Linked DNA regions of Nothobranchius furzeri. The protein of the gene in region 1 purifies or fractionates together with the protein of each later gene. This does not show direct contact. Links are inferred from orthologs where the notes say so. Each region holds a gene or a part of one and is shown on either strand. Other genes may lie near its edges. The genes, in order: cullin-9, apex2 and glmna.

Region 1 (3,647 bases):
CTGATTAAGACAGAATGTCATGCGTCTGTGACAGTGTCCTGTCACTGTGACCCAATTGATCATGCGCCCTGGCTAGTTGTACAGGGGAAATCTCTGTTTGGGTGACTGGTAAGTGCGCATGACTTTCGCCCGAGAGTCTGGGGATCGAATCCCGATTGGACCATTTTTTTATATCCGCCACAGATCTCTCTGAAGAATTCACAACATTGACGGCTTCAGCAACACTGTGCCACTTGGTGGATTTTCTCTTATTTGATTTGCAAAAGTACTTCCTTTCATTTCTCCACCTCACCCACAGGTACCTCAATTCCTGCTTCTGTGAAATAGCGCTTCCTTGATTTGCCTTGATCTACAGTCACCATGTCATTGGCGGAGTGCTGCAACAACCGGCTTATGTATATGCATGAGATCCACAAGGCACTTTGCATTGACTATTTATGGCAGTAAGTGGGCGTGGTGAGGGCGGGACGTGACTAAAATGCAGCTGAGAAACATTCTCGTTAGTCTCCGATTTATGAAGCGGAGATTGCACGCAGTTGTGCGTACTCCATGTTTGATAGATCACAATCCTACTTGGCGTAAGTACATTTTTTTTGCTGAGCTTAAGTACGGTTTTGGAAAAGATTCTACGCAATGTTTGATAAATGAGACCCCAGATCTCAATCAGCAGGTGATTAACAGGCTTCTGCAAAGCCTGATGAGCTGCTGCAGGTTATTCAACCACTCAGTCAAGCGTGTTGGAGCAGAGAAACCACTAAAACGTGCTGGCCCTCCAGGACCAAAGTTAAATACCCCTGGCCTAGGGAGGCAGCTTCCCTCCACAGGTCTGTTGAGTCCAAAATGAAAACTGAATGAATTAGAATCAGATGCTTTTCTGTTTTTTTTTTTGGTTGATTCATACTAGAGATACACTCGTAAGAAAATGTGGGCCGATATGTAACAATGATACTGGCAACTATACTTAGCTCAGTTATACATATACCCTGATGTCTGATGTCTGCTCTCGTCTCCATAGCAACCATGGTGGGCGAACGCCGCAACGGGAACCTGCTGGTCCAGCTCAGCCCCAGGCTACAGGCATATCCCGAGGAGCTGATCCGCCAGCGCCGCACCCACGACGGACAAACGGAGTACCTCATTCGCTGGTGCCTGGTTACCATTGAAGATGGGTCCGTCTCTGGGGGCGGAGCAAGCGAGTCGAGTGGAGCGGGCAGTGCCGGCTCAGGGGTGGGTGGATCCAGTGGCTCCACCTCTGGAGAAACCAAACCGGAGAACATCTTGATGTGGATGTCAATGGAGGATGTGTATGCTAATTGCCCCACCCTTCTTGGCAAGAGGAAAACAGACTCACAGCGCCCCCTCCAGCAGGAGAAGTTGCAGGAAGGCGAGGTGGCAGATGGGAGCCAGAGGAGCGGAGGCGAGTTTCCAACAGACGTGACCTTTGATGAGGTAGAGCTGTTGGACATGAAGCAGGATGTGATGAACCTGGTGTGTCGAGCCAGGAAACAGATGGCTAAGAAGAGTGACTTCTCCATCAACATCATGCACACCATCCACGTGCTGAGCGCTTATGCCAGTATCGGCTCACTTGTAGGTGTCTTCAAGGAGACTGGTGCCCTCAACCTGCTGATGGAGTTGCTGTGCAACAAGGAGACGCAGACGAGACGCAGCGCCGGCAAGATGCTGCGGGCGCTCGCCTCACATGATGCAGGTAAAAAATTAATTAGCACTGTTGCCTTCAGGGTCCCCTAGAAAACTCAAATCCTTAAACTCATGTTTAAAAAAAAACCTGTGTCACAGCTGAGTAGAAAAACCACACCACCCTGTTGTGTGGTTAGACCACCCTATGCCGTGGAACATCAGCTGTTTCTTTAACTACTCTTGTTGAGTCTTAGGGTTCTGTTCCCAGTTTTTCTAGTTCCTGCTTACGTAGCTGGGGTATGAGTAGGGCTGGACGATACGGAAAAAATCATATTGATAAAAAAAATCGTATCAGTCGATGTCAGTAATTATTGAAAATGCTATGAAAAATGTAGTAAAGTTTTAAGTGCAGCCCTGGCCATTTTTTGTCGTTACCTTTTGATAAAACAAGTTGGTTGCATTACCAGACTTGGTTTTTATTGATACTCTGTAAATGTTGCAAACCATTGTTTGGTTTTGTCAGACTTGTAAGAGTGAAAATATCGCCACACTGGTGAACTACTGTAACCTTTGTGGGATAATTTCTTCCAACTCTTTGCTGCAACATCTTGTTAAGGTCACATAGCTGTAGGGTTGGGCATCGTTTGATTTTAAACGATTCCGATTCCAATTCCTCGTTTCGATTCCAGTTCTTATGGATTCCCGATTCCGATTCTTTGAAGACATGATATGTTTTACATGAGCCACCTAACCACAGGTCCTACTTGATGAAATATTCTTAACTTCAACATGAATTTTAACTCTATGAACAACAACATCACCTTCATTTAGACAAAAACATGTTTTGGAGAAAAAAGAAAAAGGCTTGCAGCACAACCAGTGTGTTTGTTTCTGACCACAACCAAAGTCTGGAAGAAGCCTCTGGGATGAGAGGCTAAATGTCTCCAACATATCCAGAAACGTCCAGCTGTTTTCAGCTAACACTCTCAGGATGATCATGTCCAGGATGCCTGAGAACTACACCTCCATGCTGCAGCAGCATTCAGTCAGAACAGAAAGTGAAACTTAAATGTAGCTGCTGTCAGTAACAATCTAACAGATTTTAAACATTAAAACTCTCAACAGAAATAGTTCAGAAAGGAAATTAAAATGTTCACAGCTTTGTGTGTGATTTATTATTATTATTATTATTATAATTATTTATTGTGGCAGAAGCTGGTGTGGTCCACCACAGAGAAGCTGCTCTAGCATGATGACTTTAATTAGTCTGCAGGCTATTGTTCAGCCTTCTGACGCTCACGTGTCTGACTGCTGACGCTCCGTGTGTGTTTTTATTTCTGCAGTGAGACAAACTCACCTCACACCGTCCAGAGTTTGTTCTTTAAGCTTCTATTAAATCCACCGTGTTGACGTATTTCAGCAAGTTTCCTCTACACTGCAGGAGTAAAAGTTAACATTACGGAGTAAAAGTTCGGCAGACACATTTATATTTGGCTGCTGTGCACCGGGTGTGGGAGGGGGGACTCGGTGCTGCACACAGACAGCTGGTGTGATCAGCTCTGAAAAGCGTTGATCACAATTTGCAGATCACGTTTATTTTTCACGGAGATCGGCCGCGGATTCCTCTTTCGTCGGCACACTAGGAATCGAAATAAAAAACGTTGAGCGATTCTGGGAAAAATGAACATTTGGAACCGGTTCCAATCGATGCTCGATTCTCGATGACCAACCCTACATGGCTATCTGTTTAGGTTTGAAAGGGGGGGGGGGCTTGGTGACAGAGCATGCTTGGGTCTGTGTTTTGGTTGGTTGGGTGTAAGTAGGGCTGGGCAATAAATCAAAAATGTATCGTTATCAAAATTTCTGACTCTTATCGTGATGTCTTTAAAGCACTCAACGACCTGGCATCTCCCTATCGCTCTGACCTGCTCACTCCCTATGTACCCATGCGCACGTTGAAATCTGCTGACCTGCTGCTTTGCACTCCCTGGATGCATTACAAATCA
Region 2 (4,217 bases), on another chromosome or scaffold:
AGGACATAAAAGACAGCTTTTTGGTGTAGATTAAAAAATCTATTATATATTTTAACTGTTTATTTTTGTGAAGCGCCTCGTGATTTCCATCTTGAGAGGCGACATATAAAAAAGTGTTTCTTTCCTTTTTTAGATTCTGTTTAATCATAGTGGCATTAAACTGGTCAAACTGGACTCAAAACTGGGATTAACTGTGACATAAAATTGCTTCAGCCTAAGCTCAGAACAGCCAACAGCTATCTTACAAACCAGTGTAACCCAGCTATCTACCCGGCAGTCGTGTGTGTGTCATATTACAGAGCTGACTCTGCTTTTGTTATCAGGTAAAACAAACGTTTTGGTTCCACGGTGACGCTTCGTACCTTTTAAAGATCATCAAGGACGAGTCCCCGGCTCTCAAAGCTGTCAAAAATCGAGACAGTGGTCAACCATCGGCTACACCAGGGTCTCCAGAACCAGCGCAGACCCGGAGGTCAGCAACACGACAGCTGGCTTGGCCAAAAGCACAGGGTGTAGTCAATTGTCCCCCATTTTGGTGTGGTGTCCTCTCATGTTCTGAATCTGTCCTGTGTGTGTGCCAGGAGACATGTGGCTAAACTAAGACATCCAGACAGTATCCCACCACCACGTTTAACATAATTAGATCAGCTAACAGACTCCAGCTCAGAGAGGGAAGAAGAGCTGCTGGAGAGATGAGAAGTCGTCTGACAGGGATGCTAAAGCCAAGACGACACCGGACACAGAAACGGGACACTATCGGACAGCTAGCATCAGTAGCGTAGCTTAACGTGGATGAAAGTAGTAAATAAAATCTAACATATCATCTCAAAACAAATAGAAATATCTAACAAATCGACTGCTGCTGGTACGTTATCGACCAAACAAACGCCACTCACGCGCCCATCTTTAGAATCCTATCAGACAAGCTAATTAGCTCAACAGTCAGCCATCACGAGCCCATACGCACTTACCCCGAGCCTTCTGACCTAAAATGAAGCTATTCGGCCGGCCGCCGCAAAGAGGAAACTCCTCACCGCCTCCAGGAGCTGCAAATGACAGCGGGCTCCTAAGCAGTTAGGACTGGTGCGAGGCCAGTTTGGCGTATAGTGGTAGCCGCTCCCCTTCCTCACACCCACCTGCTTCACTGAACTCGCGCAGGGTCGCGTGTCGCGCGCCGAAAACGTGAATGCCCAACTACCCCCTCTAGCTTAGCAGCGAGGCAACGCAGCTACACTAAAACACTGTTTATTATCTGTATTTCTGTAATAAAGCCTTAGATAATCGTACAAGCATACATTTATAAAGCGTTATGCTAGAAATGCTCTGAATTAGTTACTTAATAATTATGAGATTGCTACAAACAATCTTTTCCGGTTGTATGTTGCGTCACGTCCGGGGTACTTGAACGTTGCATTTGGCGTTTTTGTGCGGCTTTCAGGTGTACTTGGGTTTCAACCTGCATAATGAAGATCGTTACGTGGAACATAAACGGCATCAGGACGTTTAAAGGCGGCATAAAGAAGACTCTTGATTCTCTGGACGCCGATATCATCTGTGTTCAGGAGACAAAAGTAACGAGTAAGAGTTGGAAAACAGGAAAGCTGTCCCGATGTGCTCCTGCTGCTGTTTATTAAAACACACTGAACCTGTATATGTGTTTCTCAGGAGACCTACTGGATGAAAAAACCGCCATTGTTGAAGGATACAACTCCTTCTTCAGCTTTAGTCGAGGACGCAGCGGCTATTCAGGTTAGACAGCTTTTACCCGCCAAAATAAAAGCCCCAGAGTTATTGGTAATGAATATGTATGTGGCAGTGTGAGCGTCCTGTCACAGTGTCCCGATTGATCATGCGCCCTGGCTACTTAACCAAGGGGATGTCCCTTTGGCTGACTGGTTAGAGAGTATGACTCTCACCCGGGCCCTCGCCTCTCCACCCTGCCACATGCATCACCAATCAGATGCATTGATGGACATTAAAGCCTATCTTCGTTTCTTTATTGCCCTATAATCATTACTACTCCACCATGAGCCAGGTTTTGTTTTGCACAGGTGTTGCTACTTACTGTAAGGACATTGGCACTCCTTTGGCTGCTGAGGAGGGCCTCACTGGTCTGCTGACCAATCATGAAGGTGCTGTTGGTTGCTATGGAGACCACACTGACTTTTCAAATGAAGAGCTGCAACTTTTGGACAGTGAAGGACGAGCCCTCATAACACAGCACAAAATCCTGTAAGTGAATCAGGTCAGATTGAACCCCACTGCGTTTTAATCACCGTCTTCCAAAACCATGCAGAGATATGCTCTCAGTGTATGTAATGTTTTGCTGATGTTGCAGCCTTGTATCATTATTATTATTATTATTTGTTTCTGTTTTTCCCCGCAGCTGTCAGGACAAAGAACAGACGGTTACTGTAATAAACGTGTACTGTCCACGAGCCGACCCTGAGAAGCCAGACAGGAAGCAGTTCAAGCTCCAGTTCTACAAGCTGCTTCGGTGTCGGGCTGAAGCTTTGCTAAAAGACGGGAGGTGAGGGTTTTCATAAGGTTTTAGCATTTCTGTGACAATGTGTGTTCCAGTACACTCAGCTTTATGATTATTAAACACCGATATCTGATAGAGACAGATTTATTTAGCTATTTATCTTTAAAAGTCAAACTTTGGGGTCTTTTTAACAGTTTGGGTTGTATTGTAAGACGTTTAACTAGGAGGAATAAACGGTAAAAGGTGGCTATAATGTCTGACCTTTTCTAGTATCTTCATATTTTAGGTGCTTGCTGTCCTTTAACATGTCTGACATCATCGTTTTTTCTGTCCTTTTCTCCAGCCATGTGATCATTCTAGGCGACGTGAACACATCTCATCGGCCCATTGACCACTGTGACCCAGATGATGTTGTAAGTGTGTGTTACACCAGCTGCTCCCTTAAAATTCAGTTCAGTACTATTCAATTCAATTCAATTTTATTTATAAAGCGCCAAATCACGACAAGAGTCATCTCAAAGCACTTCACATAATAAACATTCCAATTCAGGTCAGTTCATTAAGCAATCAGTAAAAAGTTTCCTATATAAGGAACCCAGCAAATTGCATCAAGTCACTGACTAGTGTCAGTGACTCTACAGCAATCCTCCAGCAGTCTAAGCCTATAGCAGCATAACTACAGAGATAACTCTGGATAACCTAGCCTTTTAGATGGAGGGATGTTGGAGGCAGGACAAGGGAGAGCCGTCTTTACCGACTGTACACTCCACCTCCCTCTACTCCCCCACTTGTCCTGATTTAGGCTAACATCAGATTTTAACCATAGGCCCTATCAAATAAAAATGTTTTAAGCCTATTCTTAAAAGTAGACAAAGTGTCTGCCTCACGGACTAAAGCTGGGAGCTGGTTCCACAGGAGAGGAGCCTGATAGCTAAAAGATCTGCCTCCCATCCTAATTTTAGATATTCTGGGAACCACCAGTAAACCTGCAGTCTGAGAGCGAGGTGCTCGGTTAGGAACGTATGGAACAATCAGATCACTGATGTATGATGGAGCTTGATTATTAAGAGCTTTATATGTGAGAAGAAGGATCTTAAAATCTATTCTGAATTTAACAGGTAGCCAATGTAGGGAAGCTAAGACAGGAGAGATATGATCTCTCTTTTTAATTCTCTTAAGTAATCCAGTCTTGATGTAATAAATGCATGAACTAGTTTTTCAGCATCACTCCTGGAAAGTATGCTTCTAATATTAGCAATATTCTGAAGGTGGAAAAAGGAAATCCTACAAACCTGATTAACCTGGGATTTGAATGGCATGTCCTGGTCCAAGATAACACCAAGGTTGCTTACTTTGTTCTCAGAGATTAATGTAATGCCATTCAGGTCAGGTGATTGGCTAAGCAATACTACATCCCAATTTAGCATGTGCTTTATAAAATGGTGACTGCAAACAGAACTGAGTGCTTTTTACGCCTGTTTGTTTCCAGAGTCTGACACTCTCTGAGAAACAATGGCTGAAAAATGTACATGTTGGCTCCATTTAGAAAAATGTTTTAATGCAGTGAAAATAAATCTGTAATAGTTTGTTGCTGCAAGTGTGCAACAAACTCATGAATACCAAACATCTTTTAACCTTGAGGAAACTAAAAAGACAACATAGTGAAAGGTAGCATAAACTCCTGCAGTGATGCACAAGTAAAACAACACGTCGCCAGTATAAACCCCTAGAA
Region 3 (4,260 bases), on another chromosome or scaffold:
AACTACAGAAGGACCTGGACCTGGTGATGAACTACAGAAGGACCTGGTGATGAACTACAGAAGGACCGGGTGATGAACTACAGAAGGACCTGGTGATGAACTACAGAAGGACCAGGTGATGAACTACAAAAGGACCTGGTGATGAACTACAGAAGGACCTGGTGATGAACTACAGAAGGACCTGGACCTGGTGATGAACTACAGAAGGACCTGGTGATGAACTACAGAAGGACCTGGTGATGAACTACAGAAGGACCGGGTGATGAACTACAGAAGGACCTGGTGATGAACTACAGAAGGACCAGGTGATGAACTACAGAAGGACCAGGTGATGAACTACAGAAGGACCTGGTGATGAACTACAGAAGGACCTGGTGATGAACTACAGAAGGACCTGGACCTGGTGATGAACTACAGAAGGACCTGGACCTGGTGATGAACTACAGAAGAACTGGGTGAGGAACTACAGAAGGACCTGGTGATGAACTACAGAAGGACCGGGTGATGAACTACAGAAGGACCGGGTGATGAACTACAGAAGGACCTGGTGATGAACTACAGAAGGACCTGGTGATGAACTACAGAAGGACCTGGACCTGGTGATGAACTACAGAAGGACCTGGTGATGAACTACAGAAGGACCTGGTGATGAACTACAGAAGGACCTGGTGATGAACTACAGAAGGACCTGGTGATGAACTACAGAAGGACCTGGACCTGGTGATGAACTACAGAAGGACCTGGTGATGAACTACAGAAGGACCTGGTGATGAACTACAGAAGGACCGGGTGATGAACTACAGAAGGACCTGGTGATGAACTACAGAAGGACCAGGTGATGAACTACAGAAGGACCAGGTGATGAACTACAGAAGGACCTGGTGATGAACTACAGAAGGACCTGGTGATGAACTACTGAAGGACCTGGACCTGGTGATGAACTACAGAAGGACCTGGACCTGGTGATGAACTACAGAAGGACCTGGACGTGGTGATGAACTACAGAAGGACCTGGACCTGGTGATGAACTACAGAAGGACCTGGTGATGAACTACAGAAGGACCGGGTGATGAACTACAGAAGGACCGGGTGATGAACTACAGAAGGACCGGGTGATGAACTACAGAAGGACCTGGTGATGAACTATAGAAGGACCTGGTGATGAACTACAGAAGGAGCAGCTCTGATCCGCGACAGGTTTGTTTCGGTTCTTTTCTACAGAGAACGAGTCTGTTCCACCTTCCCGCTGAAAGCGGAACGGGAACAAGCTCCACTGCTGGGTCGAACCGGACCGGAAAATCAACACGGAACGGACGTAACGAGGGTGAAAACGTTGTCCTGTTTCCGGTAAACTCTGGATTGGGATTAAAAACCAACCTTTCCTGGAGGTTTTAGTGGAGCCTCCTCTCCTCCTCCTGCTCTCCACCAGCTCCATGTTTCTTCTGTGTTCACCTTTGACCTGTGACGTTTCTACGGTAGCTGAGGGGGTCAAACCGGAAGGCGCGCTGCATCGGAGATGTAAATGTGGTTTGTTTGGGTCATGAAGGAAAGGTTTGTGTGATGTTTTTATCTGCTGTGATTCCAGAAGCTTCCCGCTCTGTTCGCGTCTCCGACTGAAGCTCCGGCTCGCGGTGGCCTCGCGCGGACCTAGCTTGTTTCAAACGGAAGTGCCTCTCTGTTTCCGGCTGATCCGAGGACAGCAGCGATGGCTCTGGAGCAGCTCAGTGATGTGGTCCAGAGATGTGTGAGTCTCATGTTGTCCTGTCATCCCTCCTGCTGCACACCGGCGTCTCAAAGCCCCAGAGGCTGTTTCTGTCCCTCCACCCATCTGACTCGTGACTTAGTGGCGCGAGCTACGCAGGGCAGTGGAGTCTGGTGTGTCCACCTACCTGTCCACTGATGTTCAGATTGTCCCTCACCACCACCACGTGGCTTTAACAGCTCTAGGGAAGAAGCTGTTCCTCAGCCTGGTGGTTGTGGCCTTGATATTCCTGTACCGCTTCCTCGATGGTGGCGGCATCAACAGTTTGTGACCTGGATGGAAGGGATCAGCAGCGATACGGTTAGCCTTCCTTTGTAGTCGGATGGTATATACTCCAGAGTCCAGATCTGGTAGTGGGCCCCCCACGATCCACTGAGCAGTTTTCACCACCCTGGCCAGGTCTTTTTTGTTCTGGACGATGCAGCTGCCATACCACACCGTCATGCTGGGTGATAGGATGCTCTCAGTCATGGCTATGTGCAGCTTTAGTATCGCTGTGCTAAATGGCCCAGGGAGCCCCAGTGCAGCGTTCAGTGACACAAACCAAAATCTGAGATACAAGTTACCAAACAACAGCAACCAAGCGACGACACCCGAATCGGGCGAGATGAGGGAGATCTGTAGCGTTGCTGGTTCTACTCCAGTCTCCAGCGTGCTACCATCACTCAGGAACAAGACACAGGTGGTTTGAGCTCCTCCACCTCAGACAAAGACGGCCCTCCCTTTTTCTCTGCGTCACTCAGCGCCGAAGCGCTCAGGTGCATGCTGGAGGTCATGGACCAGAGCACCAGAAGGTTACCTTTGCTGAGGTTTTCAGATCCTGTGAGTTCTATGTTCTGGCCCACGTGTGTTTTGCTTTGTTCCGTCGGGTTAGGGTTGGCGCCTTGGCCCTCAGATCAAACCCTTCTTTAAGGAAGAACATTCCGAATCAAAAGGTCACCGGGCGGGCAGCATGACTTTACTTAGCAGTAGATGTAGCATGTTGCTAACATGTTTGTTGTTCATAGAAAGCAGTGAAGTCTGACATGGTGGGCAGAATGTGATCAGATACAGCCTTCTAACCGGGACTGCAGCAGCCCAGCAGGTTGTCCAGTAATCAGAAGGTTGCAGGTTCGATCCCGGCTCCGACCAGAGAATGCTGCTGTTGTGGCCTTGGGCAAGACACTTAGCCCGCCCTACCTGCTGCTGGTGGTCGGAGGGACCAGCGACGCCAGCGTTCATCTGGCCTCGTCTCTGTCAGAGCGCCCCAGAGCAGCTGTGGCTACATCGTAGCTCATCCCCACCAGCGTGTGAACGACTGATTGTGTTGTAAAGAGCCTTGGGGGGCTGTAGAACCCAAGAAGATGCCATACAAACACAAACCGTTTACCATTCTAACCGTTTTCTCTCACCTGCCGCCGCCTCTGGGCCAGGTCGTCGGCGTAAGTGAGAATGAGTTCTCCGTCGACTCATCTGGTTAAATAAATCCGACACTTGTCTTTCCTCTCCGAACCCCAGCAGCCCCTTATTCCCTCTTATCTGTGTGTGTTACACACAGCAGGCACTCCCGGGTGACGGCTACAGCTCGGAGGAGCACGACGTCTTCACCACGGCTGGACGGACCTGCATCGAGGAGGGCCATAGTCCACAGGTCCTCAGCATCGTGCTGGATGAGAAGAATCAGGTAGATTTCTGTGAGATGGTGCCAGTCCTTGGTTGGGTGTGCTGATGATGACCCGGCTTCATCACCCTCTGTGCAGAACCTGATCAGGAGTTTGGGCTGGAACCTGCTGCCTCCACTGATTCAGGTGCTGCTGAAGAAAGAAGACAAGAACCTTCCTCAGTGTCTGGCCATGTTCAACCACCTGATGGAGGTCTGTGGATCTGCTCGGCTGTGATGTTGCTGCGGGAAAAGGATGGGATGGCAAATTAGAGATGGCGGGGAGGACGAAGATGAGGAAAGCTGTGGTGAAGGTCGAGGATCAACGTGTAGAAAGTTAAAAAGGTCATTCATTCAACCAATCTGGAGGTGTGTAGAAGGGGGCGGGGCCAAACCAACAGCCCTTACGTGGGTAAGCAGCGGTGGGTGGGTTCAGCGTGATGATGTCATGATCCATGTTTGTGCTTCTCTGAGCCTTCTTCCCTGCTGATGGAGACGGTCTTCAGATGAACCAAACTCTGCTCAACACGGTGTTGAGAAGCAGCGTGTTGGTCAGAGCGGGGTGTTGTAGCTTCTCCGATGTCGCTCTGCTGCCACCCCCGTGGGCGTCATGACCTCTGACGTGTGTCCTCTTAGACCTGCCGGCCCAAAGAGCTTCTGATTGGTCTGCTGGAGCAGCTGGAACACGATGATCCTGACGACATAGCCAACCGTCTCCATCTCCTGCTCGGCCCGTTACAGAAAGGTTCTGATTGGTTTTGCCGACTCTGATAAAAGTTCTGTGACGCTCCTCTTCATCCAGCCGTTTGACCTCCTCTGTCCCATCAGTGCTGCTGTCCCTGGGCAGCCGAAAGGCCTC

What was found.
Region 2: the proteins of cullin-9 (region 1) and apex2 purify together in Homo sapiens (affinity purification with mass spectrometry; 3 studies listed by BioGRID and IntAct, counting the BioPlex papers as one, with this or other methods). This does not show direct contact. The link is inferred for Nothobranchius furzeri from reciprocal best matches to the Homo sapiens genes CUL9 and APEX2.
Region 3: the proteins of cullin-9 (region 1) and glmna purify together in Homo sapiens (affinity purification with mass spectrometry; 3 studies listed by BioGRID and IntAct, counting the BioPlex papers as one, with this or other methods). This does not show direct contact. The link is inferred for Nothobranchius furzeri from reciprocal best matches to the Homo sapiens genes CUL9 and GLMN.

Annotation. Positions count from the first base shown.
Region 1 is NC_091752.1:62,763,645-62,767,291, forward strand, and holds part of cullin-9, read left to right. Parts: intron 1-1,015; coding exon 1,016-1,711; intron 1,712-3,647. UniProt on the Homo sapiens protein: Core component of a Cul9-RING ubiquitin-protein ligase complex composed of CUL9 and RBX1. The CUL9-RBX1 complex mediates ubiquitination and subsequent degradation of BIRC5 and is required to maintain microtubule dynamics and genome integrity.
Region 2 is NC_091755.1:42,303,904-42,308,120, reverse strand, and holds the start of apex2 (DNA-(apurinic or apyrimidinic site) endonuclease 2), read left to right. Parts: upstream 1-1,367; 5' UTR 1,368-1,463; coding exon 1,464-1,578; intron 1,579-1,665; coding exon 1,666-1,749; intron 1,750-2,051; coding exon 2,052-2,232; intron 2,233-2,386; coding exon 2,387-2,530; intron 2,531-2,828; coding exon 2,829-2,898; intron 2,899-4,217. UniProt on the Homo sapiens protein: Functions as a weak apurinic/apyrimidinic (AP) endodeoxyribonuclease in the DNA base excision repair (BER) pathway of DNA lesions induced by oxidative and alkylating agents.
Region 3 is NC_091751.1:71,619,551-71,623,810, reverse strand, and holds the start of glmna (glomulin, FKBP associated protein a), read left to right. Parts: upstream 1-1,344; 5' UTR 1,345-1,377; coding exon of another isoform or gene 1,378-1,435; 5' UTR 1,436-1,475; exon of another isoform or gene 1,476-1,510; intron 1,511-1,585; 5' UTR 1,586-1,705; coding exon 1,706-1,744; intron 1,745-3,299; coding exon 3,300-3,425; intron 3,426-3,501; coding exon 3,502-3,615; intron 3,616-4,037; coding exon 4,038-4,146; intron 4,147-4,229; coding exon 4,230-4,260. Other genes in the region: putative RNA polymerase II subunit B1 CTD phosphatase rpap2, read right to left, coding at 1,378-1,435.